3 linked regions of the Diceros bicornis minor genome follow. The protein of the gene in region 1 interacts with the protein of each later gene in a biochemical or structural test. Links are inferred from orthologs where the notes say so. Each region holds a gene or a part of one and is shown on either strand. Other genes may lie near its edges.

Region 1 (10,811 bases):
TTTAGCAATAAAGTATTTTTAATTAAGGTATGTACATTGCTTTTTTAGACATAATGCTATGGCACATTTAATAGACTGCAGTATGTTGTCAACATAACTTTTATGTGCACTGGGAAACCAAAACATTTGTGTGACTCGCTTTATTGCGGCGGTCTGGAACCAAACCCACAGTATCTCCGAGGTATGCCTGTACGTGTTTATGCAACAAGAAGGTGGAAGGGAGGTGGTGTAGGAAGAGCAATTGTCGCAAAGCCTTGTCCCTCATTTACTAGTTTGCATTGTGACATTGCCCTGAACCAGTTGTAGGAGGCGAGGTTAGAAAGAAGGGGGCCTCTAGAGGTGGAATGGTGCTGATCTGGGGTTTGGGGTGTTGCCCAGTGAGAGAGGGAGGGGATGTAGGAGAGGAATAGAAAGAGACCACGTGAAAGAACCTCAGTGAGGATGGGTGGCCTTTAGTGTGCGGGCACCCCTGCATTCCCTTCCTTCTTCCCATTCCCCAGAGGATGGTTCCTGGAACCCCACAACAAGGAGCCCTCACACATGGCTGGCACTAGTAAATGGTATAGCCACTCCGGAAAACTCTTTGGCTGTTTCATATAAAGCTTATGCTTACCCTGTAACCCAATAATTCCATTCTTAGCTATTTACCCCAAATAAATGCAAACATATGTCTACCAGAAGACATATGTATATTCATAGAAGCTGTATTCATAAAAGCCAAAAACTGGGAACAACCCAAACGTTCAAGAGGAGAATGGATAAATTATAGTAGATTTGTACAATGGAATACAACTCAGCAATAAAAAGGAACAAAATACTTATACAAACATCAACATGAATGACTCTCACAAACGTTGAGTGAAGCAAGTCAGACACAAAAGAGTATATACTGTATGATTCCATTTATGTGAAGTTCTCAGGCGAAACATATTTAGTAGAGTGCGGTGGAGGGGGGGAGGGTGTTATTCACAGGAAAGGGTTGCAAGGTAGCTTTCTGGAATAATGAAAATGTTCTATATCTTGACTAGGATGCTGGTCACACAGGTGTATACTTAGCTAAAAATTCAACAAGCTGAATAATTAAAATCTGAGCATTTTATTATATGTAAATTATACAAGAAATTGGAAAAAGATCACCAGAGCAAACCTCAATAAGAAGGAAGGAAATAATGAAGAGAACAGAAATAGATGAAATAGGGAGGGAAAAACAACAGATTAACAAAATCAAAAGCAGAATCTTAATTTTTGTTAAGAGGAAAATTAAGAGGAAAAACAGATCTCTAGCAAGACTGATCAGTTAAAGATAGAAGATGCAAACAAATCAAATACAAAATTAAATTTGTAGTTTAATTTTGTAGTAAATCTAGTACAGATGCGGGCCGGCCCCGTGGCTTAGCGGTTAAGTGCGCGCGCTCCGCCGCTGGCAGCCCAGGTTCGGATCCCGGGCGCGCACCAACACACCGCTTCTCCGGCCATGCTGAGGCCACATCCCACATACATCAACTAGAAGGATGTGCAACTACGACATACAACTATCTACTGGGGCTTTGGGGGGGAAAAAAGGAGGATTGGCAACAGATGTTAGCTCAGAGCTGGTCTTCCTCAGCAAAAAGAGGAGGATTAGCATGGATGTTAGCTCAGGGCTGATCTTCCTCACAAAAAAAAAAATCTTAGCTAAATGTAGCCACTAGTATATTTAGCAAATATATTTTGATCAGATAGAGTTTGTCCCAGGAATGCAAAATTGGGTCAACAGAAAAGCAATGTATGTAGTTCCCTACTAACAGACCAAAAGTAAACAATCTCAACCACAGAAAAAGCATTTGATAAGGTTCAAGAATCTGTGAATTCATACTTATATATATAAATTAATGGATAAAAGAATAAATGGAGGAGAAAAGAAATATCTACTTTACAATAGAATGTCAACTAACTACGGAACAGTGATAGAGTTAGAAAATCTATGGATGCTAAAACTAGTGGTGACACTTTGATGAGGAACAGGATATTTACATAGATCCAAAGTATCTCTCCACGAAATGCATGTTAGTTAATTCGAAAAGGAAAAACATTAATGTGGAGAAACCTGGCAGACACCATCCTAATGAAGGGAACAAAGTGAAAATTATCCATATTAAAATCATGAGCCCCCTGATAGGATGAAACAAAGAGACAGCATATCCAAGATGCAGAACCTGAAGCTAACCATGAAGAAACATCAGACAATGCCAAACTGAGGGACAGTCTACAAAATTCCAGGCTTATATTCTTCAAAAGCATCAAGGTCATAAAGGTCAAGGGAAGATTGAAGAACTGTTCCAGACTGAAGGAGACATGCCATTTGAGTGTTCAGATGTCACCTCCTTAATGAAGCCTGCCCCAGCTACCCCGTTTAAAATTCCAAACCCTCCCCCACCACCTTGTGACCCCTTCCTTGCATTACTTTTCTCCATAACACTTCTCAACGTCTAACGTACTATATATTTTCTTACTTTTCTATATTGTTTGTCTCCTTCACTAGAATGAAAGCTCCACGAGGGAAGGGACGTCTGTCTGCCTTGCTCACCACTGTGTCACCAATGCCTAGAATAGGGTTTGGCGCGTAGCAGACCTTGCAAGCATGAATAAATACACACACCACAGCTGTTCAAATTACTCTCATCCTCAAGACTCCATTTTTAAAAAAGGCTAATATATAAAGAGTTCCTAAAAATCCATAAGAAATACAACAACCCATTAGATAATGGATAAAGGACACGAACAGAAAATCCCCAGAAAGCAAGAACTGTAATACCTTTAACTCTATGAAGAGATGCCCAAGCTTACTCCTAATAAGAGAAACGCAAATTATAATTACACCGGATTGGCAAACAACCTAAGTCTTGACAATCTGCTCATTGAGGCTGTGAACCAGCAAGCACTCTCATACATGGCTGGAAGCAATGCAAAATGGTACAACTCTTGCCCCCACCGTCCACCTCCCTCCGCTTTTCCTGCTTCCCTACCTCCACAGGCTTTTGCTCAAGCTGTTTCCTCCAACTGGAATGCCCTTCCCTCTCACTCAGTAAAGTCCAAAGCCGGCCTCAATTACTCCCAATGATCCATTTGAAGGCAACCAATTCTTCAGAGAAGAACTTGGCCACACCTATGGCTTCAGTTGTCACCTCTGATGGTCCCCAAATCTGTATCTCCAGCCCAGACCTCCCTCCACCTCCTGAATTTTAGACCCAGTCCCCAACTGTTTACTCAACTGACACATACCAGACCTTGGACATCTAACAGGCATCTCAAATGTAATACATCCAAAACCAAATTCCCGATTTTGCCCCACATCTGCTCCTCCTGAAGTATTTCCCATGTCAGTGGATGACAACTCCATTCTTCCAGGTGCTCAGGCTAAAAATCTGGGGGTCAACTAGGACTACTCTCTATTTTTCATGCCCCATATCTGATCTCTTGGCAAATCCTGGCTTCTTTACCTTCAAAATCAACCCAAAGTCTAAACCCCCCGTCACCACTTCCACTTTCACCACCTGGGTCTGATCCTCTCATCATTTCCTGGACTCTTGCAGTGGCCTTTCCACTGGTTTTTCTGCTTCCACCTTTCCCCTTACAGTTTGTTCTCTCTCCACACAGAGCAGCCAGATTGTTCATTCTAAAATATAATTTAAGAAGGAGGGGGATAAACCCAGCACCACCGTCCATACCAGCCGCACCATGTCCTCAGCCTGCACAGCCACGGAGGCCGCAGCAGCGGGAGTTCCAGGGTCTCCCTTCCCCGCTCTAGTAAGCTGGGTCCGGGGCCTCGGTGGTGCTCCCGATGTCCCTCACCCACCCCTGAAGATCCCAGGTGGGCGAGGGAATAGTCAGAGAGATCACAATCTTTCAGCTAATTTATTTTACTCTGATAATTGGCTGAATGTAACAGAGGAACTAACGTCTAACGACAAGACGAGAATCTTGAATGTCCAGACCAGGCTCAAGGCCGCCAAGCACATCAGCTGGAGAGTGGTGCTGCAGGGGGCTCCCTCGACGTTGAGATCCGGGGCGGGGCGCTGCCCGAGGGCAGCGAGGACAGCTTCGAGGTTCTTCCCGAGTTTGCCGAGGAGCAGCCCACGCTGACCGCGTCTTCATTTGCTTCCACAAGAGCCGTGATGACAGAGCCGCCTTGCTCCGTACCTTCAGCTTTCTGGGCTTTGAGATTGTGAGGCCAGGGCATCCCCTTGTCCCCAAGAGACCCGAAGCTTGCTTCATGGCCTACACCTTCGACAGAGTCCTCCGGCGCGGAGTAGTGGAGACCTGCGTCCTCGCACCTCACCGCCCGGAGCTCGATCAACCACAGTGCCCCCTGTCGCGCTGTGCCGCTCTGTGCCACACTGTGCGGGTGGCGTGACCAGCGCTGCGCTGGGTCGGGTGTGAGGCCTGCTCCTCTGCTGGGTGTGTCTGCGTGTTGTAATTGTGCAAATAAACGCTCACTCCAAATTAGCATATATTTCTTGAAGTTTAATGTTCTGTTTGTGATACTGAAGTATTTGCTTTAATTCTAAATAAAAGTTTATATTTTACTTTTTTATTGCTGGTTTAAGATGATTCAGATTACCCTCGTCTTTTGAGGGGGAGTTTCTTATCTGAAGTCTTTTGGAAACAGTCTTAGATCTCTTAACTTGGAAAGATAGGTAATAATCGGCCCTTCTAGTGCTCTCAAAAATCCGAATAAAAGCGATTACACCGCCAAAAAAATATATATATATAATATAATTTACATAATGTGACTCCCCTGCTTAAAATCCTTTTACGGCTTCCCACAGATCTTAGAATGAAAACCAAACGTCTCAGCCTGGCTTACAATGCCTTACTTGACATGGCCTCAGATCTCATCTCCCAGTGCTCTCCCTTCCTCACTCCTCTCCAACTACACAGACTTCTGTGCTCTTCCTCAAACCTGCCAAGAACTTCCAACCTCAAGGCTTTGCACCTGATGTTCCCTCTGTCTGGAATGCTTTCCCCACTCCACGCGTGGCTCGCTTCCTCACTTTTCACATGCCTCCTCCTCAGAGAGGCATTCGCTGACTACTTTACATGGGGAATCAGGAGAGGTCTCTCTGAGGTGAGGCAAAGGATACAGAAGAAGGAAAAGACCTGAGGGAAGAGTGTTCTAGAGTACTGCAAGGATAGTTTCCTTGCTATGTTCTTTGCTATGCTCCCAGTCCCCTGCACTTAGTAGACACTCAATAAATCTTTTTCAAATGAACAGCTTTGGAGGTTGTTGACAGGATATGAGATACAGAATTTGGGATAAGGTGACAAAGGCATTTTGTGTTAAACACCTTTGCTCAAACATCACCTTCTCAGCGAGGCCTTCCTTGACCACACTATCTAAAAATGCAACCTGTCCCCACAGATTTCCCCTTACCTTGTTCTATTTTTCTCCATAGCGTTTGACAGTTATCGCATATATACAATACATATTTACGTATATATTTAATCATATATTCACATATGAATATAGAATATACACAGTGTATTTAATAAGACATTTATTATATACAGATGTAAATTATTTACATATTGACACTAGCTATCATGTTATGTAAACTATGTAGTGTTTATATGTACATTTTGTTTTATATAATTTATATTATAGAGTCACATATATTATAATACATATGTATATGTGAAACTACAATCTTTAGTTATTTGTTGTATTTATGGTCTGTCTCTCTCGCTAGAATGTCAGCTCCGTGAGGGAAAGGAAGAATCCCTAGCACCGGTCCCACAGCTTGAGCTCCACAAATGTCAAATAAATGAACTCCTTTGGCCTTCTAAGCCTCAGCCTTGCCATCTGTAGGATGGGTGTGCCTTTCCATCTGGAGGTACCCACCATGTTCCGCTCCCTTTTCCTATCCCTCCAGAGCTCAGCTCCTGGAATTCCACAGTCCAGGTTTACATTTTCCTATACCCTGGGCGCTGATGCCCACCACGTGCACCAGGCACTGGTCAGACAGGACTACCGCCCCCAGCATGCCTCGCGCGTTTGGGAAGTACCACAACCTGTAGGGGTGTCTGGGTCTGACATGGGCGCTGACGGCGCGGGAGCAGGGGCGGGCTCCCCTCTAGCTTAGCATCTGTGGTACATCCCAAACCGGGGCCCTCCAAGGCCCCGCGCTTCCGAGCTCCGCGCAAACTCTGGCGCTTCTTGTACGACGGAGGTGGTTTTCTCTTCCGTTGCCCCGTGGCTTCGGCTCATCTCCAGCAGGAAGGCGAGGCTTCCGCCCGGCGCAGGGGGTGAGCTGGAGCGCGGTGCCCCCAAACCCCTGGACAGCATTTGAGGGAGGGGGCTCAATTTCGGGGATTCCCTAATGGCCATATTTGGAGGCTCTGGGCCTGGGGTGGCATTTAGGGGTGGCTATTTTTGAGGGTACCCTTAGGAAGTGGTGTTTGGGGTCTCTGGGGTGGGATTTGGGAATCTGTTTTAGGAGATACCTCGGAGGCAGCGTTTATATACCCCTCGGAAGCAGAGTTTATACCCCTAGGAGACAGGGTTTAGGGGGATGTTCGGAGAGACCCTTAGGGTCCGTGTGTGAGTACTTTGTCCATGGGGCAGGATTCGAGATGCTCCCCAAGGGGAGAGGTGAAGTTTGGGGTTCCTGAAGCCAAGATGGAATTTTGAGAGCGCTTGTTTCATGAAAGGTCCTGGTGACAGTGGGAACGTTCAGGACCGACGTGGCATTGTGGAGGTATCTGTGGCCTTTGTGACCTCAGGTTCAGTGACGAGGTCCCCCCGCGCTTGGGTACTTGGGGCGGGAAGACTGGACACGTCTGGGCCCACACGTTTCTAGGGAGAGGAGCCGCCGGCCCAGGCTGTGGAAGGGACGCCGGAGCCCAATGTGCTAGGCTCGTCCCTAGGGGACCGGGTGCCACCCGGCCTTCTTGGGCCGCGGCTTTATTCATTATTCATGAGGAGGTGGGGCTGTTGAGGAAGCCTATTTTTGCCTCTTTCGCACCTGGTCCGCTGGAAGTGTCGGCTTGTGAATTATTCACGAGGGGGCGGATCAGCATGCTGAAAGGGTGTGCTGAGGGGCGTTCTGCATTCTGCCAGGCAAACTAGAGCTCACTGATTAATCGTAAAGGTGAGTAGCGCCCCGAGCTTTCTGTGGCTTTTCCAGGGGTGTTGTGCGTAATTCATGAGAGGTGTAGCTTTTACAGCTTCATCTGCGTGATCCGCTGTTAGTCTTCCCCTGTGGGTTCCAGGATTTAAGCCTTGCGTCTAGCAAAGGATTGAGGCCTCGTGTATTGTTCATTCCTTATGGCCCAGTAATCCCAGATTATCAACAAAGGCTCTAGATTCAAATCCCATTTATCCTTCCCAGCTGCGTGATCTTTGGCAAATCCTTCTGTGAGCCTTAAAAATGGGTATGGGCATAATGATAATCAGATTAGTTTTCACTCATTTAGCACTTTATTAGCCCATTTAATCCCCACAACAATCCTAGGAGGTAGGTTATTATTACCCATTTTATAGATGAGGAAACTGGGACACCAGGCGGCTAAATAATTTGCCTAAGGTTACTCACAGTCAGTGAGTCAGTCTAGTTCCAGAGTCTGTAGTCTTTTTAATTTTTTAATTTATTTTTGCTGAGGAAGATTCGCCCTGAGCTAACTCGGTGCCAGTCTTCCTCTGTTTTTTTATTTATGAGTCGCTGCCACAGCGTGGCTGAGGAGTGGTGTAGGTCCGTGCTGGTGATCCCAACCCGAGAACCAGGCCGCCGAAGCCGAATGCGCGGAATTTAAGCGCTACACCACAGGGCCCGCCCCCAGAGTCTGTAGTCTTAATCAAATGCCATAATGCCCCCTCCTCCCAATTTAATGGTACTACTACTAAAGTTAGTCATATAGCACTATTAGAACAGGCACTGTTCTAAGCCCTTTCTACATATTTACTCGTTTAAACTCCATCACAAGGTAAGTTACTATTGTTCTCAATTTATGGGTGGGGAAACAGTGGCCCAGAGAAGTGAAATGTCTGGCTCCAGGTCACACAGCTAGTCATCCGTGGATGGAAATGATTTTTGTGAGGGTTTAAGAACTCTCTAAGGAGATCACCTTTGAGCTGAGACCTGAAGGAAAAGAAGGAACCCATTTCCTGTTCTGCATTCCTGAGGTCAGTGGCACAATGCATGTAAAGGACACACTACAGGAGCCACGACATAGTGGTGTTAGCGATCTATTAATGTGATCTATTATTATTATTCGACAGAAATGTATTGGGCGCTTACTGTGTGCCTTGGGCTTTGATATACAGTTGTATCTCTGGTGACATGGTAGTCTACCCTACCTGTTTAATGGCCATTGGTGGCCTTAGCATTCTGTTTTCCAGTATCCTTCTGGGATGGTGTTTCAAGGCATTACTTTTAAAATAATGCCCCAAGTTGGGGGTTTCTCTAGGGGCTGGGTATACCCGCACCTATAACTAATTTTATATTAATATAAATATATATTTACATATTACCTTTATAGTAATATATAATACTTAAAAAATTTAACAGTGCCTTGTGCCAGCACTGCTCTGAGCTCATTCCATAATTCACATTCTCTGATTTTCATAACACATTTTGCCTTTACAAGGTGGATGAGTTCAATTACTATACCCATTTTACGGTTGTGGAAACAGAGGCACCTGCCAAAGGCATGTAGTGAGTCTGGATTTGGTTGGACCAAGGCAGCCTTGGTTCATGTGCAGTTAGTCAGAGGTGGGGAGGAGGCAGCTGCACTTCCCCTGGGTTTCCCCTGTGGCTCTGCAGCATCGTCTTTCATTTTTCATGAACAGGAAGGCGTGGCCATGTTGCCTTGGCTGGAGTACCATAATCCCTACTTGCTGGGCAGGGCTGCCTTGAGTGTTTCTGTCCATCCAGCCTGGTGCATAATTCATATTAACTGGGTGGGACCTTGCTTAACCTCTTTGAGTTTCCAGGTTGAGCTGCGGCAACAGTATTATTCATTATTCATGAGCCAGGGGAGTATTTTCCCTGTAGTAGCCCTATTTCCCTGCTTAGAGGGTATGAGATGCAGCAATAGGTGGACCTATCCCTTTTTTTCCAGCCCACCGAGACTTATGCATTATTCATGATAAGTGGCCTTGGTCTCCTTGGCTTCCCTGCTGCTGCAAGATTATTCATTATTTATGAGCAGTTGGGCGTGGCTTCTATGTTTTAACCTTGGCTTTCTGGTTTCGGGGTGTTAGTCTAGCAACCACCCGGCCTCATGCATAATTCATGATTAGGAATTGTGGTCTTGATGTCCTTTCTTGGTTTCCATGGCAGCTTGGCTGCAACAGTGTATTCATTATTCACGTTCCATGGGGCGTGGCCTTACGTTGTTTTATCTGTTTTCCTAGTTGCCGCTGTAGTAGCCACCAGGTGGAGCTATTCTTCTTTGAATGAGTCACAGACAGGGAGGGACCATCATACATGATTCATGAATGGGCGCGGCCTGCCTGCATCCGGGTTTCTGGGGGTGGGGCCCAAGGTTTTGTTCCGGCCCCGGGCTCAGCGGCCGCCATCTTGTGTGGCGGTGGAGGTGAAGGAGGTGGCAGGGACGAGCGCAGCCACTACGGTCGGGGGAGGAGAAGGCGGCGGAGGCGGAGGCGGCGGAGGCGGCGGAGATTCTAGGCAGCCCAGGAGGCGGGGAGGAGGAGAAGGAGGAGGGTGGCGGCCGGGCTTGGCTTCGGCTCCTAGAGGAGTTGGCGGCGGCGCGACCCGGGGAACCGGCATTGGTAACAAATGGCCTTTCTTAACGCCTTGGCCAGGGCAGGGATTTCGGGAAGCTTTGGAGGGTCCTGGGCCGGCGCTGGACCAGGCTGATGTTGGGGCGGGCCGTGGTGACTTGGACTAGGGGATCGGTGGGGGGGTGGGGAGGCAGATCTTGGGGCGGGGCCGACACTTCCCATCCGGGACCAACCTAGTCTCTCGGAAATCTGACCTTGTGGTCAGACCCCCCAGGGTCTGCTTTCAGAGACTCAGGCCCAATATCCCTAGTCAGGGACCTGACCCTGTCCTGAACCTTATATTGCAGATCAGTACTTTCCCCAGTCACTGATAGAGACTTATGGGATCGACATTTCTGGTCAAAGCCCCCCACCAATGTATGCCGTTAAAGACCTTCCCCAGACTCTCCCTTCAGACACCCCCAGTCCTTCAGTAGTTGCCCTCGCAGCTTCCAAGCGGGGCCAGACCCCCGGGAGAGTCCATGCTGTCTTCATTTCTGAAAGAGAGTCTATTCTGGCATCTTTTTTCACACACACTATCTGCCCTCAGAGCGTCCAAGGGGAGTAAACCCTGTGAAAGGCCATTTGGGCCTGGCCTCCTTGTCAGAGACCCCTTCTCCACATTTCTGAGGTCTCCCAGCCCCACCCTGGTCCTAGCATCTTCCATCAAAAATGCCTCTGGGCCCAGCGTTTCTATATAGAGGGCCTCCTCAGCATTTACCTTTAGAGACGCCTTTAATTCCTAGAATCTGTCCTTAGAGACTTCTTCTGTTTTAAGGGAATGCCCCCTTTTTCATGGTCCCAGTATTCTCTTCAGAGACTACCTTTTGCAGGTCTCAGTATCTTCCCCATCAGATACCCCTAACCCCCAGTATCTCCCCTCAGAGCCTCCCAGGGGACCAGATACCAGGGAGGAACAGTTTGGACACATAATACTCCATCAGAGATCCCCCTGCCAGCATCTGCCCTTGCAGACTCTGTTGGCTCCTAGCCTCCTCCATCAGAGACTCACCTCTCAAACCCCACCCTTCACTCAATGTCTGCCTTC
Region 2 (9,862 bases), on another chromosome or scaffold:
TTGCGATGATACTATTTGTCTACTAATTACTTGTTTTTGTCTGTTTCTGTCCCAGCCACTAGAATGTAAGCTCCATGAGGGCAGGATCCAATCATTTCTGTCTCATTCATTACTGTATCCTTGGCATTTAGCACAGGGCCTGTCACATAGCAGGCACTCAATAAATATTTGTTGAATGGATGAATGGCTCCTTGTTTTTTTTTTTTTAAAGATTTTATTTATTTATTTATTTTTCCCCCCAAAGCCCCAGTAGATAGTTGTATGTCATAGCTGCACATCCTTGTAGTTGCTGTATGTGGGACTCGGCCTCAGCATGGCCAGAGAAGCGGTGCGTTGGTGCACACCCGGGATCCGAACCCGGGTCACCAGCAGTGGAGCACGCTCACTTAACCACTAAGCCACGGGGCTGGCCCTGAATGGCTCCTTCTTAAGAGCACCTCAAGAGGCTGGGAGAAAGGTGTAAACAAATAATTGCAGTACAATATAGCACTGGGGGGGATATGATATGTACAGATTGTTGTGGGCACATTACACTAGGAACATTATAGCATGGTGGTTAAGAGCGGTCACACTAAAGTGGGATGTCCAAGGTTTAACTTCTGTCATTTACTCACTGGGTGACCTTGGGTAACTTTCTTAACCTCTCTAAGCCTTATTATACTTAGTAAAATAGATACTCTGGTAATGACCATGTCATGGATTTTTGTGAGAATTAAATAGGATACTGCATGTAAAGAGCCTGTCACATACTGATGCACAGCAAATGTTAGCTATTAATGTTAAAGGAAGATTATGACTCCTTAAGAGCACTATTCAAGCCCTACATGTGTTAACACGTGCAGAATGAAAAAAATGTTGGCCCCTTAAAAAGAGTCATTCTATAAGGTCAGAATTAACCTTTTAAAGTAAATACCCATCCCTCATTTATTTTACCAAGATTTCCATATCTTTTCTGTTTGGAAGAAAAGTAATTGATTCTTCAGAAAAGCCCTGTTTGGAGAGTACCAGGTGATGCCAGAGACTGAAGGTAAAGGTCCTGTTTTCTTTACCACCAGAGGGCACCAATCAGTCAAGTCAATCTCTACCTGTCATTATGAAACAATATGGGAAAGCTCTAGGAAGCTGTTTCTGCCATTCATTCTTTTGATAAATATGTTTTGAGTACCTACTGGTATGTGCCAAACATTGTAGTAGCTCGTATATGGTTATGAACAGGACTTATTGTATTTATGGAATTATAACCTTGAGCACCTACTATGTGTCTGAGAGATCCTGTTAGACATTGGGGTGGAGGATGGGATTCAATTTGTGATTTTGTTGTTGTTGTTACTGATTGTCTTCCTGCCCTTGGCTGTGAGCCCATAAGAACAATTACTTAGTGTCTACTTTGTGTCAGACAATATGCTGGTTGCTGAGGATCCAGGGATGAATAAGACACAGTTGCAACTTACTAATAAACAATGTTTCACCTGCTAGGATAAAAGGTATGAGACAAGTTCTGTGGAATTCTAGTTCCTCAGATCTGATAATGGAGAGCCTTAAGTATACAACTAATTAACACACTAGGCTGTGAGAACTCCCAGACAGGTATATGCTTATTAGCCACCCACCTTAGGGCCATGGCCATTGTGGATATTTAGAATGAGTTCGTGAGTTGATTTGAGCCCAGGCAGCAGCTTCGGATCTGGGTGCCAGATGTATGTTCCAGTGGATTAGGCTAGGGATCTACCATCTTCTGAGTTAGGCTGGGGCTGTGATGAGTTTATGTGGGTGAAATGCTTTGAAGATGAACTTTCTGCCTATTTGTCTACTCACAGCCTTGTTATTAAAGGTGTCAACATCATCTCCCACATTTCCAGGTCAGCAATCTTCTTATCCCTAAATTGAGTGGTGGAGGAGGGGAAGTCAGAACCAGTCATACACCATCATTTTGGGAGGAGAGGCTGCATTGATTAAGACACTCCTCCTCCTCTGAAGTGAGCTCTAATTCCAGTGGAGTTTGGTCTCAAGACCAAGAGAGTAGAATTGGGAACTAGGGAATGATTCTTTAAAACATTGAGACCTCATCTCTGAGAAAAAATAACAACAAAAAGATGAAGGGGCTCCTTCAGTGTGGATTGTGCATAGTGACTTCTTCTAAAGAGTACAGTATAAAAAGGAGGTAAAAAGAGTAACTTTACAGTGGAGAAATCTGACACACTACCTCAGCCAGGTGACTGAGGTCAATAGCGACACTGATAAGTTATGTTGATATTATGTGCCCTTGTGATGTGATGAAAATTTCATTTTACTGCTGTGATCTTCCCCTCAAAAACCTATAACCCCAATTGAATCATGAGAAAAACATCACAAATCCTAATTAAGGGACGTCCTACAACATACTTGACTAGTACTCTTTTTTTTTTGTTTTGTTTTTGCTGAGGAAGATTCACCCTGAGCTAACATCTATTGCCAATCTTCCTCTTTTTGCTTGAGGAAGATTCGCCCTGAGCTAGCATCCATGCCAACCTTCCCCTATTTTGTATGTGGGTTGCCACCACAGCATGGCTGCTGATGAGTGGTGTAGGTCCGTTCCTGGGAACTGAACCAGGCTGCTGAAGCAGAGCGCACCAAACCCAACCATTAGGCTATGGAGCCAGCTCCACTGACTAGCACTCTTCAAAACTGTCAAAGTCATCAAAGACAAGGAAAGTCTAAGAAACTGCCACAGTCGAGAGGAGCCTAACAAAACATGAAAACTAAATATAGTGTGGTATCCAGAAAGGGATCCTGGAACAGAAAAAGGACAGTAGGTAAAAACTAAGGAAATGTGAGTAAAGACTGTAGCTAATAATAATATATCAATATTGGTCCATTAATTGTAATAAATATACTGTACTAGGGTAAGATGTTAAAATAGAGAAAACTGGGTGCCAGGTATATGGGAACTCTCTGTACTATCTTCTCAATTTTTCTATAAATCTAAAACTGTTGTAAAAAAAAAAAAAAAAGTCCTACACACCTGAAGCTGGTGCTCTGTCTCTCTGATGTGGGAAGGAAGAAAGCACTAGAGAGGCATTAAAGTCACGCCAGGGCCCAATGGAGACTTTCTTGGTGAAGCATCAGAGAGACAGAGGGAATCCATCTTGTATGTGGGATTCCATCATGTGGACGCTGATTCAGGTACCACACAACATCTTAACCACCTTCAATGGGCACCCGCCACTCTTTGGGGAGACACCATTTTGAAATATATTCTCTCTTTTTTGTGTGTGTGTGAGGAAGGTCAGCCCTGAGCTAACATCCACTGCCAATCCTCCTCATTTTTTTTCCCCTTTTCCCCACCAAAGCCCCAGTAGATAGTTGTATGTCATAGTTGCACATCCTGCTAGCTGCTGTACGTGGGACTCACCTCAGCATGGCCTGACAAGCGGTGCGTCGTGCGCGCCCGGGATCCGAACCCAGGCCGCCAGTAGCGGAGCGCACGCACTTAACCGCTAAGCCACGGGGCCGGCCCTGAAATAAATTCTCAATTCAACGTTTAAAAAAAAAAGTCTATTAAAAAAGTGGAGGGGATAGTATCTAGAATACAGCCATGCCTGTAAAATTTTTTTCTTTCTTTAAAGTTCCTATTTATGGATCACTGACCATGTGCCAGTCATTGTGATAAACATTGTATATAGAGGATCTCATTTAATCTTTACAATTGCTTGTTAGGTATAATTAACCCTCTTTTATAGAAGCTGATGAAAAAGGAAGAGGTAATGTAATGTAAATAGTGGAGCCAGGGTTGGAACTAAGGATCTTACTGATTCCCAAAATTCTAAGTGTGGAACTCTCACAGTATTCTGGCTTTTCTAGGAAATGTTTAGGCAGTTATCATAGGACGTGCCTTCCTAAGAGAAAGGGGTATTTTTTTTTTTTTTTTACTTTTTGTGAGGAAGCCTGAGCTAACATCCATGATAATCCTCTTTTTTTGCTGAGGAAGACCGGCTCTGAGCTAACATCTATTGCCAATCCTCCTCCTTTTTTTTCCCCGAAGCCCCAGTAGACAGTTGTATGTCATAGTTGCACATCCTTCTAGTTGCTGTATGTGGGACGCAGCCTGAGCATGGCCCACACAGAGGGCCCGGGATCCGAACCTGGGCCACCAGTAGCGGAGCGCGCGCACTTAACCACTAAGCCACGGGCCAGCTGGAGAAAGGGGTATTTTATAATTTTATTTATTTATTTTTTCCCCCAAAGCCCCAGTAGATAGTTGTATGTCATAGTTGCACATCCTTCTAGTTGCTGTATGCGGGACTCAGCCTCAGCATGGCCGGAGAAGCAGTGCGTCAGCACGCGCCGGGGATCCGAACCCGGGGCCGCCAGCAGCAGAGTGCGAGCACTTAACCGCTGAGCCACGGGTTGGCCAGAAAAAGGGGTACTTTAAGTCATGCGAGTGAAGACTGTTGCCACATCTCACTTCAGTCATGATTATCTTAAAAGTCCCTCAGTTCCAGGTTGGACTTTCAAGCTGAAAGGATCTGTAGAGGGTCAAAGTTAAACCACAGTACTTCATTTTACAAATGGGCAAACTGAGGGATAGCCAGAGCACTTGCCCCAAATCACACAGAAAAGGGCGAGGAACCCAGGCTCAGTCTGTATTATTATTTCTCTATTTCCCACAACTTCCTCTTTGCAGTAAAGAAGGGAAGTAGAGGCTGGTCCATCTGCCTTCCCCATTTCTCAGATGGGAAACTGCCCTCCACCCCATCCCCCTAAGAGGGTGACACGCTGCCCTCCAAGGACGCACTGGCGAGAGGGCCGAACCTGAGGAAAGATGCCGGGACGCTTGTTCCCACCGATAAGACCCACATTCTCAGCACATCCTTGTTAAGCACCTACTAAGTGCAGGGAGGCGGACTGTGTGTCACGAGGAGGGCCTGCAAGGGACTGGGGCTCGTGGAGGATGCCTGCGGAAGCCTGTAGATGCACACGGTGAGTGAGGGGACCGCTGACAACTCTAGGACCAGACGTCCCTTCCCGGCCCGGTTTTGGGAACCAAGGCGTCGAACTGCACAACCGTCATTTGCGGCCAAGGGCATCCCTTGCGTCCACCCTCGGCCCCCAGAGACGCTTGGCCCTTTAAGGGCGGGGGACACGCGCCGGCGTCACAAAGCGCCGCCACCGCGCGGGGCGGCGGAGTGGAGGCGGGGAGGGAGGAGGAGGAGGAGGGCGAGGAGGGCGGGGGAGGGCGAGGAGGGCGGAGGAGGGAGGGGCGCGCACGCGCACGCGCGTCGGCCCCCGCCGCCGAGAGCCGCCCTCCCTCCCTCCGTGCCGGCGCGCGCCCCTCCTCCCTCTCGCCCTCCCTCCTGCTTCTTCTCAGCTCCGTCGCTCCCGCGGCGCGAGGCGCTCTCGCTCCTCTCCTCCTCCTCCGCCGTCGCCCCTCCCCCCGCGCAGCCGCCACCACCGCCGCGAGACCCCCGCGCGCAGCGCTCCCCCGCCCTTCGGCCCCGCGCGCCCTTCGGCCCCGGCGGCACCCGAGGAGAACCAGAGGGCGAGCGAGCGCGGCGCCCCGGGCCGGCCCAGCCCCCTCCCCTCACCATCGCCGGCCCTCCGCCGCCGTCCTCCGCCTCCACCTCCTCTCCCCCCCCCCAGGGTTGAGGCCCCCTCCCGGGGGGGGGAGGCTCGGGACCCGGAGCGGATTCGCCCTACTCCCTCAGCCCCTCCCCCGCCCGGCCCGAGTGTGAGGAGGGGGGCCCGGCCCGGCCCGGCCCGCGTCGAGGGTGAGGAGGACCTGGGCCGGCCCACGGGCCGTCTGGGCCTGGTCCGGCCCGCCGGGCGTGTGAAGACAGGGGCGCGGGGCGGCCCGGCCGAGGGCGAGCGGAGGGGAGGGGCCTGGTCCGGCCCGGCCGGTGCGTGAGGACTGGGGCCGGCCCGGCGCCGCCGCCGCCGCCGCCGCGATGGCCCAGCAGCAGATGACCAGCTCGCAGAAGGCCCTGATGCTCGAGCTGAAGTCCCTGCAGGAGGAGCCGGTGGAGGGCTTCCGGATCACCCTGGTGGACGAGTCCGACCTCTACAACTGGGAGGTGGCCATCTTCGGACCCCCGAACACCCTCTACGAAGGCGGCTACTTCAAGGTACCCCCACGCCCTCCCGGCCCAGGCTTCCACCGAGGCCCCGCTCCCCCCGCTCTCGGCAGTTTTCGGGCCGAGGGGGAGCGCGAGTGGGGGGGCTCGCCTCGGCAGCCCCCTCACCCGTCCGCGGAGGCAGGAAGGCCTGGCTCACCGGGGCCTTTTCTTTGTCAGGGGGGCGGGGGCGGGAGGCCAGACGGCCCCGGGAACGAGGAAAGCCTCTGGGGCGAGGGCAGCGGCTCCCAGAGGAGGAGGAGGAGGGCTGTCTTTGTTTGTTTCCCCAGCTGGGGGTGTGCGGGGAGAGAGGTGGTCGGTCTGTCCTCTCGCGTCCCCCACGAGAACCATCCCTGCGCCGGCTGGAACTGCCCCAGAGGGCAGAGTGACCTGCACTTACTGGATTGGGTCTTTCTTTTTTGGGGGGGTGGGGGTGGGGGAGGGGTACTGGGCTGTCATTCCAGAGGCCGCCTAGTGACCTGACATTTTGAGGGTTTGATGGGCTTCTGGCGTGGTGGCGGTTCCAAGTTTGCATTCCAGTGGGCGGCAAGGAAGACTAGGACCCTGGGGCTGGCGAACAAGGGGGCCTGCGTTTTCCTGCCCTGATCCACTGGAGGGACCGTCATTTGATTTAGCCCTCCTTCTGTCCCCGTTCTCTGTTTACTTCAGTGGTGTTTCAAAATGCCCTTTGTCCTCACCCTGCCACCAACTTTACTGCCTTTTTTTTTTTTTCTGTACGTGTAGAAATATCCACAGAGGGTGGAACATGGTATGTAGGGAGATTGGTAGTTTCCCACTTTAGGGAGATAAAATTGAAACCTTTTGCTCAGGTGGTTAACTCGAGCAGATGGGGTGGTCTCACAGATGGAAAGTATCATCGGCGGTGAGGCGGTTTCACTGAGTAGGACGGCTCCTAAGACAGCGACCATAGACATTGTTTCTGTTGTTTTTCATAATTTTACAGCAGTGGTTATTACCATTCCTAAATCCAGTGACTTTTTTGTTGTTGTTGTTCCAAGGTAGATAACTTGGAGACATTGAGGATTTTGTTTTTGTTTTTATTTTACCATTTTTGAAGGGACGAATCACAGATTGAAGGTTGAATGTTTTAAATGGTAGTGGTGGGGGCAGAGACTTAGGAAACGGGTGCTTAAGAATCCATTTAATTTAATTTTTTTATTTCCAAAATTAAGCGAAGTAGAGCAGTGAGTCAGTCTTAGTTTGTTTTGAAGGGAGGGGCTATCTCGGCAAAAGTTTTAAATGAATATCTTAGTCATGTAGTTATGATGTGTATTTTTAGGACTACCCAATTACTTTGGTTTTCCACCCTCCTAAAGGTAGAAGCCTCAGTTTCAGGCTTGAAATTGGGTCAGCTTTGTGGAAAATGTGAAGAATTGATAGGGGAATGTTTAATATTCACGCCAGAGATAGTCACTGAATACCTAGTAAAAGCATGTTTTTAGAATATTGTGTAAGAGTATGCTTACACTGTCTGCTTCATCTTTTGTGGTCTCCATACACTGTACTTTTCAGATGCAGGTGTTTAAAGTCACTAAGGAAGCGTACAAGTTATTAGTGACAAATTGGAGAAGGTATTCCTGTGTCCATGTTGAGGAACGTTTTCTTGTGAAGTATAAATTTTCATTTATAGATACTGGAAAAATTAGTTGCACAAAATGGAATTTATGTAATAACTTTTCTAGCAAAGCATTATTTAGCATAATATACTGGGTAACTTGAGTGAAATCAAGTTTAATTTCCAAAAAGTATTGTTTGGGACAATCGATAGTCAAGGTAAACGGGTACCAGTTAGAATAATCTCACTCCAATGCATTTTGTTAAAAACAAAACAAAACAAAAACTGTATGTAAAAGAAAATAATACGTTGCAAATTGTAATATTTTTGCTTAAATAACTGGGAAAGGAGTGTGGAGAACCCTCAGTTTGGAATAGGTAGTATGGAAGGAAGATTCCCTGTAGCATACATGATTTAAATTAAATGGTTTTTTTTTTTTTTATAATTTTATTTATTTTTCCCCCAAAGCCCCAGTAGATAGTTGTATGTCATAGTTGCACATCCTTCTAGTTGCTAAATTAAATGGTTTTTAATTTCAGTCCTATTTAAAAAGAATAATCTCCAGTTTTGTTGTATGTGTTAGATTTCTTAATCTTTGAGTGTTTTTACCTTTGTGACTTGTAAAAAAAAAATGTGTGAAAATTCTTAAACAGGTTTTATGTTTTAGTCTTGTGAGAAAATTTTGTTCAATTTCACTTTCTCCTACTTTTTTCCTTATTGTATGGCCTTTATCCCAAAGGTCCTTCACTGGAAAAAGGCAAATATATAGTCATGAGCAGTTAACACTGGTGATAGGTTTAAAACCATTGTTTTTTATTTCACTGCTTTTGTTTTAAAACAAGGCTTTTAGTGTGTTCCACTACAGCTGCAGTTAAAAGTTGGCACAGACCTTTCTCTACCACTGTTTATTCTCTCTTATCAAATGATAGTCCTCGAACATTTAGTGTAATTTATTTTCAAGTTAAACTCTTCTTTATTTTGCGTAATAGTTTCTGAAGGCAGCGGGACTGCCAGTCATTCTTTAAATTTTTTTTATTGTAACTCCTTTAACTTTTACGTATTAATAGACTTCTAACTGATCTTTTTCACCATGAAATAGTTGGCTCCAGTCTGTTTTATCTATGGCATCTGTTGTGGTAGAGACTTGTGCGACCTGTATTTCACATTTTTTTTTTTTTTTGAGGAAGATCAGCCCTGAGCTAACATCCATGCCAATCCTCCTCTTTTTGCTGAGGAAGACCGGCCCTGAGCTAACATCTATTGCCAGTCTTCCTCCTTTTCTTTTTTTTCCCTTTTTCTCCCCAAAGCCCCGGTAGATAGTTGTATGTCATAGTTGCACATCCTTCTAGTTGCTGTATGTGGGACACGGCCTCAGCATGGCCGCACAAGCAGTACATCGGTGTGCGCCCGGGATCCAAACCCCGGGCCTCCAGTAGTGGAGTGCGCGCACTTAACCGCTAAGCCACGGGGCCGGCCCCCACAAATGTTTTTTTTGATTCATCCTGCTTTTGTTTTTTAAATATCTCAAATCCATGTGATTCTTAGTGTTGGTCGGGGGGTGATATGGATGTAGGATAGGCTAAGGTAGTTTCTTGAGTTTTTTTCTGCGTATTGTAAACTTTTTTTTTGGCCTTGTTATCTTTTTGTCCAGTTTCTTGATCTTACTGACTTACCAACTGAATTTCTTTGCTACTTTGAATTTTTCCTCTAGGGGTCAATCATTACAAAATACAAAGTAGGAGAGGGCTTAGAACACCAAGAACACCTCTGAACTTAATTTGCTACTGTGGAGCAAGTTGGAATTTTATGTTACTGGAAGAATTGTTGATCAAGTCAGCAGTTAATGATGACTTTTTACAAGTTCACCCCCATTCCTTTAAAAAGAACTATCTTTTCAGATAACTCCTGATAATGATCATAACTTAGCGTGACTGCTTTGATATAGAACCTCCTTGGAAGTCCTGCATTATTTATCTGAAAGCGTAATAGCAGTGAGTCTAGAGATCAGAAAGTGATCTCTTTCTGATGTGCCTAACATAAAAGTTTAAACAATACAGAAAACTTAAAGGATCGCAGTTCACTTTTTGCAGTTTTGATTTTATTCAATAATCTGATTGAGGGAATGAAATATAGCTGTGTTTCATTTTTAGAAAACTCCAAACTGATAATTTAGAAAATATTTGTTATATACTTAAAG
Region 3 (10,504 bases), on another chromosome or scaffold:
GGTCCCAGAATCATGGGCTCTGTCTACTACATTCTGTGCAAGTTCAAGTTCTTTGAAGGGCAGACCTGCTTCCTCTACTTTTTCAGTTTTATTTTCTGGGATTCCCAACACCTAGACAATTTCACTACTTGCTACTTCTTCATTTTTCTCTCTTAGTGTCTTCACTCTTATTGTTCCCTTTACCTGGATGACCTTCCTCCCTCACCCTTATGACTGCCTGACTATTCTTTAAGATGCACGTCCTCCAAGAGCCTTGCTTGCATTATCCCCCCAATGGATGTGCTCTTGGACCTACTTTGACTTCCTGTTGCACAATGGTTAAGAGTATAGTTTCAGTCCCCATTCCATGACCTATCCATGACCTTGGGCAAGTGGCTCCATATTTCTGAGCTTGTTTTGTCATCTATAAAATGGAGATGATACAGACCAATCACTTAGGGTTGGCAGAATTACGAGAGAGTGCAGTGAAGCACCCAGCACAATGCCTGGTGCGTGGCACGTGGCACGGGCTCGGTAAACGTTCGTCACTATTACCAGCAGACTTGCCCAATTCTAGACCCACCGTTTGTAATAAACCCGCAACCCGCACTCTCATTACCACTGGATATTATCTCTCATTTTAATCTTTCCAGTCTGATAAGTGGAGGGAAAATGTTTTTGTTGTTTTACTTTGCTTTTAATTCTCTATTGGTGAGGATAAGCATCATTTCATTCATTCAGAATCTATCTGTATTTCTTCTGTAAAGTGCCTGTTATATCTTTTGCCCATTTTTCTGTCATTCAAAAGGCATTATTCAAATTTTTATTTTCCTTTTTATCTTTTTTGAATTATAGAAATCATATATAAACTCATTCTTGTAAAAAAATTCAAACAATACACAGAAGCCAATAGGGAACAAAACAAAGTTCCCCTTCACCCTTGACCCTGACTCTCCTCCCCTAGAGGTCACCAACGACAACAGTGGTGGCATCCGTCAGTCCCCTCCCTATGCACTTCTGTGTGTGTGTCCATCCTTTGTCCTTTAGTGATATTTTATGTTACTGAGATCATACTATATATATTGTTCTCTGATTTTATTTTTTTCACCCAAACTTCATTCATTCATTGAACAAATACTTATCGAGTGCTGAGCCTCCTCAAAGTGCTAGAGATAAAGGAGTGAACAAAGCAGACACACAAACTCCGTGTCGTCACGGAGCTTACTTGTACTGCAGGGCAAACTGTGGCCTCTAGGCCAAATCCAACCTGCAGCCTATTTTTGTCCAACTCAGGGTTTTTAGATTTTTAAAGGGTGATGTAAAAAAAAAAAGAAAGAAAAATACGTGACAGAGATGTGTGTGGCCGGAAAAGCCTAAAATATTTACTAACTGGCCCTTTACAGAAAAAGTGTGCTGACCACTATAAATCTAGTGCATAATATCCTTGAGGGCCGGCCCCGTGGCTTAGCGGTTAAGTGCTCGCACTCCGCTGCTGGCAGCCTGGGTTCGGATCCCGGGCACGCACCGACGCACTGCTTCTCCGGCCATGCTGAGGCCACATCCCACATACAGCAACTAGAAGGATGTGCAACTGTGACATACAACTATCTACTGGGGCTTTGGGGGAAAAATAAATAAGTAAAATTATAAAAAATATATATATATCCTTGAGATTTGTCCATGTTATTAAATTAAATTGTCTCCCTCATTTTATGTTTAACAGCTATATAGAATTCATACAAGAGATATTCCATAATTTATTTCATCGCTCCCCTATTAATGGATATTTAAGTTTTTTCCAACAGGTTTGCTATTATAAACAGTGCTGCACCAAACATCCTTGTGTTTGAGTGATTCTAAAGGATAAATCCCTGGAAATGGGATTGCTGGATCAGAAATTTTAAAACTTTGACTGATACTTATATTACTTGGGAAATAAAATGATTATTTAAACTCAAAGAGTAGTAACCGTATAGCCCAGATTTCCCAACTCGGCCTATTTTATAAAACCTACCTTTATTAAGCACTTATTATGTGTCAGATACTATATTTAGCACTTTTTAACCACTATCTCATTTATTTTTAACAACAACCCTGTAAGATAAGTATTAATCCTCTCTGTTTTACAAATGAAGAAACTGAGTCTCAAGGAAATTATTGCCCAGGTTTACACCGTCAATAAGTGGCAGAGGGGGCCGGCCCAGTGGCACAAGTGGTTAAGCGCGCACGCTCCGCTGTGGCAGCCCGGTGGCCCAGGGTTCGCAGGTTCGGATCCCGGGCGCACACCGACACACTGCTTGTCAAGCCATGCTGTGGCGGCGTCCCATATAAAGTGGAGGAAGATGGGCACGGATATTAGCCCAGGGCCAGTCTTCCTCAGCAAAAAGAGGAGGGTTGGCAGATGTTAGCTCAGGGCTGATCTTCCTCACAAAAAAATAAAATAAAATAAGTGGCAGAAACTGGAATTTAAACCTTGTTTGTCTAATTCCAAAGCCAGGTTCTTAACCGTGATGCTATACCACATCCCCCCAGATCATGAAGTGTCCTGATTTTTGTTTTAGAAAATACGGTCACTATAATAATCACATGTGTTGTAAGCTACCGCAGACCATTATTTCAAAGAGGGGTAGAGCTCTAAAATAAGAGTCACCAGTCTGACCAGTTGCCAGAGATGCTGTGTTTCGAGAAAAGAAGGGGGTGGGGATTAGAGGTGTACTAAACCTCTGGGAATTGGGTCCCATACCCTGGCCTCTTGGGCTCGGCTCCACTAGCTCTGAAGAGGTTGGTGAGCCCACTACAGCCACCAGGCTAGGACAAGGTCTTGTTGGTCAGAACTGCTCAAGGGCCAAGAGTATGCTCTGGGACCAAATGAGAAAAGCCCCTTGCGCCAAACTAATGCCTGTCTGTGACTTCATCCCTCACAGTATGCAGCTGACCCCCAGGACAAGCACTGGCTGGCTGAGCAGCATCACATGCGGGCAACAGGGGGGAAGATGGTAAGCATTGTTCGCACGTGCCACTGCCAAAGACCCATCCAGCCCAGGGACCAGGGTTCTGGCTATTGGTGGCAGCTTACCTCCAAATCTGAGAGACTCTCAAAGCTCTCCAGGATGAATGTGGACAGGGAGACTTGTATGGTTAGAGAGGGCCCATTCCTTCATGCTGAAGAGCAGGCTGTAATCCCTGGATTCCCTTCCCTGTCCCTAGGTCTCCCACACAGCACCCCCTCGCCCTACCACGTCATCCCTCCTATTTAGATTGTATTAGCTTTGCATAAGAATGACAGGTACAAAACACACTTAACACTACTTTTCTCTTGTGTGCCATTAACAGATTTCACTCATAGGTCATAACACTCTTCCACCAGACACAGCTATAGAGTCTTTTCTCAACACAGTACTCCAGGCGGCACCCCTCATCCATAGGGGTTAATACATGCAATGAAACTTGTTTGCCACATTTGGCAGCAGCTTCCAGAATCACCTCTACTTAAAGAGTTCTCAGCTCATATCAAGCAACAACCCTAGGAAAATCATTGTTGCATGTGTTCTAAAACTGTTGTGGAGGGCTTTGTCCATCACATGCGGTGTCCCCCAGCTGAGGACTCAACTTAGTGCCACCGCTGGGACTGTTAAAAATTCAGTGGCCTTGCAAACCAGTATGCCCTCTCCTTTCTGGCAGGGAAAGCTATCTTTTATTTTACTACTCTACTTATGCCTACACTCTTTGTTTGAAAAAAGATTTCAGGGAACTTACCATTGATACAGAAAATACAACATAATATAAATAAGAAATAGGGGGAAAAAGGAAAGGCAGGATCTAAAATTAAGCCACAAACAAGACTAGTTTTAAAAAAGTGTTTTTCTAATTGCTGACCTGGGAGACGAGTGTACTTCTATGGGTTCACACAAATTCAGCTCCAGGACCCTCTCAGGGACACCTGATCTGTTACATAGTTCACAATGCCCGTAAGATGAAGACAGTCAGATTACTCAAGGGACACACAATTATTCCTGACCCTAAAACTAGACAGAAGTGTCTTCCACAGAAGACTTGCTCATGTGAGGAACAACATCCCCCGTATGGTAAGCTCACAAGAGGGCTCTCTCCCACTGCAGATCATGGCATTGTGTCAAAGCCATTCTGCAGACCCCAGGCAATACAGCCTAGTTAGTAGACAGCCGTGCAGTTTATCACGTTTTCCCTTTTGCCACAAAGTTCAAAACCAAATCATCTTAGCTCCTAGAGTTAACATATGGCTTCCTCCTCCTGATTTCCTGTTTCCATGTATATTTTGCTAGCTCTCTTGCCATTTTATTTTAAGCTACTTCAGGGTCCTTTTTCAGAAGAGGAGGAGGCTGTAAATAATTTAGTCACCAGTCCCCACTCCCCCACCAATAAAGTTTCTATTTGAGTGAAAGATTGTCTCAGGGAACAATTCCCCAGTCTCCCTACTAACTCTCCCCTACTAAATTGTAACTATGCCCACCTCCCTTCCAGCCCTTAGAGTAAGCAGATGTTTAATAAAATGTTATTAAGTTGAACTGAAATGAATCACAGGCAATGACTACTCTCCTTTGCTCCTGCCCCAGGCCTACCTCCTCATTGAGGAGGACATCCGGGACCTCGCTGCCAGCGATGACTACAGGTAAAACCAGTGATCTGTCTGCTACCTTTCCCCCTGCCTCACAGTAGTCCCTGGGATGAGCCTGGGCCTATATCCTCCTTTGCTGCAACTTTCTTCCTCATTTCTGTTCCAGAGGATGTTTGGACCTAAAGTTAGAGGAGCTGAAATCCTTTGTCCTACCCTCCTGGATGGTTGAGAAGATGCGAAAGTACATGGAGACACTACGGACAGAGAATGAGCATCGTGCTGTTGAAGCACCTCCACAGACCTGAAGCCATGTCCCCTGGCTACATTTGGCAGCCTTCCTCTGAAGCCCTCTTACCCACGTGGCTGAGGCCACCACTGGGATGGATCTCAGCAGCATTAAGCTGTGCCTGGGCTAGTTTGTAGTGACTCACTGCAGAGCGCTCCCAGACTGGCATGTAGTTCTACATTTGTAAAGTTATTGGGATAGGAAGCAATTAAAGAGTTTGTAATAAACACAGATGGTGAGCCTGCTGTGCCGTCTGCCTTGTAGGGGCTGACAAAACATCAAGGGTTCTAGAAGAGGTGGATATAGGAAACCAGGACCATGTGCCCCTCCCCCATCCCAGGGTAGACCCAGGAAAGTCCCTCTGCCCCGTGCACATCTGCTTCATGAGACAAAGGTGGGAACACCATGTACCTTGCCAACCTTCCCTGTCCCTCTTTCTCATTTCCTTCCATACCCAACTAAGGTATGGAAGTAGCAGAATGTGCGTGCTGGCACCATAGGGGGTTGATGACAGACCATATGAAAAATGTGGAGAGGCTTTTATTACCCCCATTTTACAGGTTAAAACACTAAATGATGTTCCTAAGGCCACAGCAAACCGTTGGAGAGGCAGCACATGGACCTGTTTTCTAATAGGGAGTCTCCCGCTCTGGCCATCAGCCTCTAGTTTTTCCCCTCGCATGAATTTTCAGACACTTAGGGCCCTAATAAAGATGTTCAAGATCTTATAACGGGGGGGGGGGGGGGGGGGGGGCGGGGTTTCCGGTTTGAGGAAAGGGTACCAGTGCTGGGCGATTCCCCTGCGAGTAGGGATCCTGTCTGGGCGTGCCTCGTGTTCCCGGCAGTTCTGAGGCGTTTGACCTAAAGGGGCTCATCCCACGTGGACTTTTTCTTGGCCCTTTAATGGTTGGCGTTTTCCAAAGGCCACCAATCTGCTACAGACGCATTAGTTAATGGCGGCCTCATCTGCCAATCGCCCCTCAGAAGCAAGATTCCGCCGTCCAATAGTGATGCGCCGGTGGGTGGGTGGGTCTAGCAGTTGCGTGGTGACAGAGCGCTGCGGCGCGCCCCATTGGCTGGATCAAACCCAAGCGGGCCGCTGATTGGCCCGCGCTGCCGGAGAGTTACAATTCAAACGCGGGCGGCCGGGTCCGCAGCCCTGCAGTTGCAGCGGTGTTCTCCGAGTTCCTGTCTCCCCGCCAGCGCCGCGCGGATGGCCTCCCAGAACCGCGACCCAGCCGCCGCCAGCGTCGCCGCCGCCCGTAAAGGAGCCGAGCCCAGTGGGGGCGCCGCCCGTGGCCCTGTGGGCAAAAGGTGAGTGATGCAGGGGTCACAGCCTCCGGGCCTGGCACGACCTGAGCAGTGGGGCCCAGAGCGAAGACTTCCGGGACCCCCACCTCCTCCTGGAGCGGGTGAGATCTGGGAGGTGGGGGGACACGCCAAGCGCTTGGGCCGCTCTTAGAGACCCTGCCAAGGAGGACGGAAGGGGTAGTCATGCTGCCAGGATCCTCCTCGGGTGAGCCAACATGAAGATGCGCCGGGGACCCTCGGTGGCTTGGCGGGGGCCAGAGGAGAGGGAAAATTGAGATCCGGCACGGAGACAGACGCCAGAGGAGCAGTAGGGGTTAACAACACGCCAGAACCGTCCGGCGGGAGCCTGGAATCAGGGAGGGTGAGGACTCAATAAAATCCTCCTATGGAAATGGCCATGAGGAGTCCCCAGCTGAATCTGACCTCTCAGGGTAGAGAAATGTCCCCATGACAACTGCTCCAGAGAGACTGGGGTGGGAGGAGATGCATCCCCCGAAGCCTTGGCCCATCCAGACTCCCAGGTGACCCCAAATGCTCTTTTTGCAGGCTACAGCAGGAGCTGATGACTCTCATGGTGAGTGACTACCTGCCCAGATCCCCAAGTAGTTGGTCCACCCTCCCACCTTCCACTCACTTATCAGTAGCCTCCTTTCCTACGTCAGGCTCTTTGCCAGACATGGGGGTAAAAAGATGAGTCCAGTTTGCTCTTTTCTGGGTTGAAGTTAATATACCTCACCTACACCTTTTCTTCCAGCAGCCTCTACTCCCAATCCCATCCCCCCACAGTGAAGTTTTCTCCAATACAGTTCCCAGAAGCCATACAGGCCTCCCCGCTGTCCTGCCCTGGCCCTACTTCCCTGCCCTAAGATTTACCCACACCCAACTCTCCACCCTTCTTAGTATTTCTAGTCCTGTCATATCTTGGAATGACTCCTTCCTAGATGACCTTTTCTACATTAACCCTGAATATTCAACTCAAGTTGAATGCCCATATTGTATATCTCTCTAGTCTGTGAATAGTGTCTGGGCTTTGTACATAACGGGCACTCAATAGCATGCTGAATTGAATTCCCAGCAACCAACAAGATTATGGGTACATGATCCCAGTACTCCCCCCCAGAGGCACATGTACAGCCCCAAGAGTCTAACCACATCCTCAGAGAAGCCTACCAATTTGGTCTGGTTGCTTTATTTTGAATCAAAAAGTGATGAGATTAAGGGGAAGGGGTTCACCCACTGACCCCCATTGCTGTTCTCCAAAGTGTACTCTGCAGCCCAGCAGGTGTTGTGTTTCCTCCCCAGATGTCTGGCGACAAAGGAATTTCTGCCTTCCCTGAATCAGACAACCTTTTCAAATGGGTGGGGACCATCCATGGAGCAGCTGGCACAGTAAGTGTAGTGTTGGTGACTTTGCTGGGTCTGGGGAGAGGTAGGAGGTGAGATCCAAGCGCTAGATCTGCTTCTGTCTTTAGCCTGGCAGGACGCTCCCCTGCGTCTGTTCTCCTGCTCTGAGCCAGTGGCCCTGGTCTCTCCCTCTGTACAGTAAGAAGGTGGATTTAAAGCAGGGCTCTCCATCTTAGATGCATAGAGGGGGCCAGACAGCACGGAAAAGAATGGAAGACCAGTGAGGACTTTGGCCAATGGGAGGGCACAAGTCTCAAGATGGCAGCTTCCCATTGCTGCACATCTGGTTTAAGATGAGTCAGAAATCTAGATCTACGTCTCCTAATTTTTACATGTTAGCAACTAATGATCTAACTGGACTAAAGCACAGCTGTGGTAGCCCTCAGGATGCTAATTTACAACCTTAGACCAGGGATCACTGATGTCCCCCAGATAAGAGAGAGAGCACCAGAACCAGTGTAAGACTTTGTCTTCTGTCAAGTCCCAGACAAACTTCAAGGTCCTGGCCAAGCCCCTTATGCGGGCTTGGGTTGGGATATGAGCCTCAGGGTGGGGAAGCTTACTCCCCGCCTCTACTTCCCCACCGCCAGGTATACGAAGACCTGAGGTATAAGCTCTCCCTGGAGTTCCCCAGTGGCTACCCTTACAACGCGCCCACCGTGAAGTTCCTCACACCCTGCTACCACCCCAACGTGGACACCCAGGGTAACATCTGCCTGGACATCCTGAAGGACAAGTGGTCTGCCCTGTATGACGTCAGGACCATCCTGCTCTCCATCCAGAGCCTGCTAGGAGGTGACTTCTGAGACCAGCCCCTCCCCTGCAACCTAGGAACCTGTCAGGACTCCCGGGGCCAGCCTCTTCTACCCCCTGACCATTCTCTTTTTCTCCCCACCCACAGAACCCAACATTGATAGCCCTTTGAACACACATGCTGCTGAGCTCTGGAAAAACCCCACAGGTGGGTCCTTTGTCCTTCTCGGGCACAGGGTGATCCCTCCCCAGTCTTCAAGGCTCCCTCAAACAAAAGGATTCCAGTGACTTGGGAATGTGTCCTGAGGACTGGGTCTGGAGGGGGCTCGGGGTTGGGTGTCAAGCCACATAACCCAGTTCTTCCTCTGCCCTGGTGATTCTGGTTTGCCTGTGTGCTATAAAATCAGAAAATTATCCCTAATGTGGAAAACATTAAGGTAGGTTGAGGGGCTTTTTAAGCAGAAGGCAGCCTTGTGCAAATGACTTGCTACTAAGTCTCCCCAGTCTCACTGGCAGCAGGGCCCATCCAGGAGACCTGACCGAGTGGGCAGCAGAGGGGGAATCTGTTGTGCTGGGAACACCCCTCAGATTCCCCCCACCTGTGCATCCCTGGTCAAGCTGCCCTCTTGCCCACCTTAACTCCTGTCCCCAACGCTCACCAAGACCTGCCTGTTCTCTTCCAGCCTTTAAGAAGTACCTGCAAGAAACCTATTCAAAGCAGGTCTCCAGCCAAGAGCCCTGACCCGGGCTGCCCAGCCTCTCCTTGTGCTGTCTTTTTATTTTTTCCGTAGATGGTCTGTCTGTGCTTTCCTTGATTTCTCATAGGACTCTGTATCTTAAGCTGTGGTGTCATTTTTGTTTTGTTTCTGTTTTTTAAGTTAAGTCTCTGGTCGAGCCCTCGTGATGAATATATTAAATAAATACATTTTGTTTTTGTTTTTGTTTTTACAAATTGCCGCCTTGTAGTTACCCTAGGGTTGGAAGTGCTCAGGGTGGGCAGAGGTCAGGCTTAGCATCTGGGCTCTTGCCCTGCTCCTGTCTCCAGGGAGTAGAAGCAGCTGATAGGCTGTAGGGCCAAGCCAGTGGGGTGACTAGGATTTGTTCCCTTGTGATCTTACTTATTTTATGACTCTGCATCTGTTTCCTTGTCCATAAGATGGGTGTGACAATAATGCCTGTTTCTGTGGAGTTGTGACATGCACCAGGAATGTTAGAGAATATTGGAGCTGCCCCAGCTGTGTTGCAGATGAGGCTGAACCAGACCCTAGGCTGAAACCGCTATTGCTGTGGAAAGGGTGTGTGTGTGTGTGTTGGAGGAGGTTGGGAGGGGAGGACCAGCCACCCTTCTGACAGTAGATGTTCTGGCCCTGAAGGAGGACAAAGAAGGCACAGGTCACCCTGCACAGGCCCAGGGTCTGGGGTGACAACAGGAAAGCCCCTTCCTTGTCGGAGCCCTCAGGACTGAGCTCTCAACTCGCCCCTCATCCCAGGTCCCCCACAGATGGCTCCACACTCCAAGGGGGGTACATTCACCTGCTCCATCTCCACCAGCAGTGCCTCCAGTTGCTGCACCCACTGGCCCAGGCCCCCAGCCCCTGAAGCCATCTTTCCACTGGCCCCGACCTTTGGGCCCCTGGGAAGAAACCCTGTGCTGACCAACTGTGTCCCAGCTGGGGGAAGAGCAGGCTGAGGTGATGGGCTCGGCTCAGGTCCTGCAGGAAGACCTCCAAGGTGGACAAACAGCACCCAGGTGTGCGAGGAGGAGGTTAACTACTGTTATCAACAGCCTGGTGAGCAATGTGGTGGCCTGAGTTATGACCCTGAGTGGGCACGGAGAGGAGGGATGAAATGGTAAGGAGATGGGAAGAAAGCAGCAGGGCATGGTAGTAAATTAGAGTCGGAAAATGAGCCCCAGAATTCCTGACTTGGGCCCCGCCCCTCAGGGTACCATCTCTGAGATAAGTACACAGGAGAACAAAGATGGAGGGGAGGGGAGTTATCAGTTTAGGGCAGAGCTAGTTTGAAGCACTCAGGACGTCCAGGTAGAACTGTCAACAGGTGGATGGTTTCATGGTTAAGAGCCTTGTTCCTGTCTCCACCACAAAGCAATATCATCTAGGTTGTCATCGTGTACCTGGGCACTTCACCTCACTATACCTTCGTGTCCTCAACTGTAA

Evidence for each region.
Region 2: of the proteins of UBA1 (region 1) and UBE2R2, one has a biochemical effect on the other in vitro, tested with the Homo sapiens proteins (5 studies listed by BioGRID, with this or other methods). The link is inferred for Diceros bicornis minor from reciprocal best matches to the Homo sapiens genes UBA1 and UBE2R2.
Region 3: of the proteins of UBA1 (region 1) and UBE2C, one has a biochemical effect on the other in vitro, tested with the Homo sapiens proteins (5 studies listed by BioGRID, with this or other methods). The link is inferred for Diceros bicornis minor from reciprocal best matches to the Homo sapiens genes UBA1 and UBE2C.

The regions. Positions count from the first base shown.
Region 1 is NC_080781.1:40,990,905-41,001,715, forward strand, and holds the start of UBA1 (ubiquitin-like modifier-activating enzyme 1), read left to right. Parts: upstream 1-6,187; 5' UTR 6,188-6,285; intron 6,286-9,601; exon of another isoform or gene 9,602-9,772; intron 9,773-10,811. UniProt on the Homo sapiens protein: Catalyzes the first step in ubiquitin conjugation to mark cellular proteins for degradation through the ubiquitin-proteasome system.
Region 2 is NC_080761.1:53,485,462-53,495,323, forward strand, and holds the start of UBE2R2 (ubiquitin-conjugating enzyme E2 R2), read left to right. Parts: upstream 1-5,385; 5' UTR 5,386-5,924; coding exon 5,925-6,101; intron 6,102-9,862. UniProt on the Homo sapiens protein: E2 ubiquitin-conjugating enzyme that accepts ubiquitin from an E1 ubiquitin-activating protein, and catalyzes its covalent attachment to other proteins by an E3 ubiquitin-protein ligase complex.
Region 3 is NC_080758.1:15,530,231-15,540,734, reverse strand, and holds UBE2C (ubiquitin-conjugating enzyme E2 C), read left to right. Parts: upstream 1-6,027; 5' UTR 6,028-6,072; coding exon 6,073-6,173; intron 6,174-6,716; coding exon 6,717-6,744; intron 6,745-7,472; coding exon 7,473-7,559; coding exon of another isoform or gene 7,560-7,568; intron 7,569-8,017; coding exon of another isoform or gene 8,018-8,115; intron 8,116-8,164; coding exon 8,165-8,369; intron 8,370-8,431; coding exon of another isoform or gene 8,432-8,475; coding exon 8,476-8,535; intron 8,536-9,010; coding exon 9,011-9,069; 3' UTR 9,070-9,263; downstream 9,264-10,504. Other genes in the region: DNTTIP1 (deoxynucleotidyltransferase terminal-interacting protein 1), read left to right, coding at 2,904-2,975, 4,572-4,627, 4,740-4,878. UniProt on the Homo sapiens protein: Accepts ubiquitin from the E1 complex and catalyzes its covalent attachment to other proteins. In vitro catalyzes 'Lys-11'- and 'Lys-48'-linked polyubiquitination.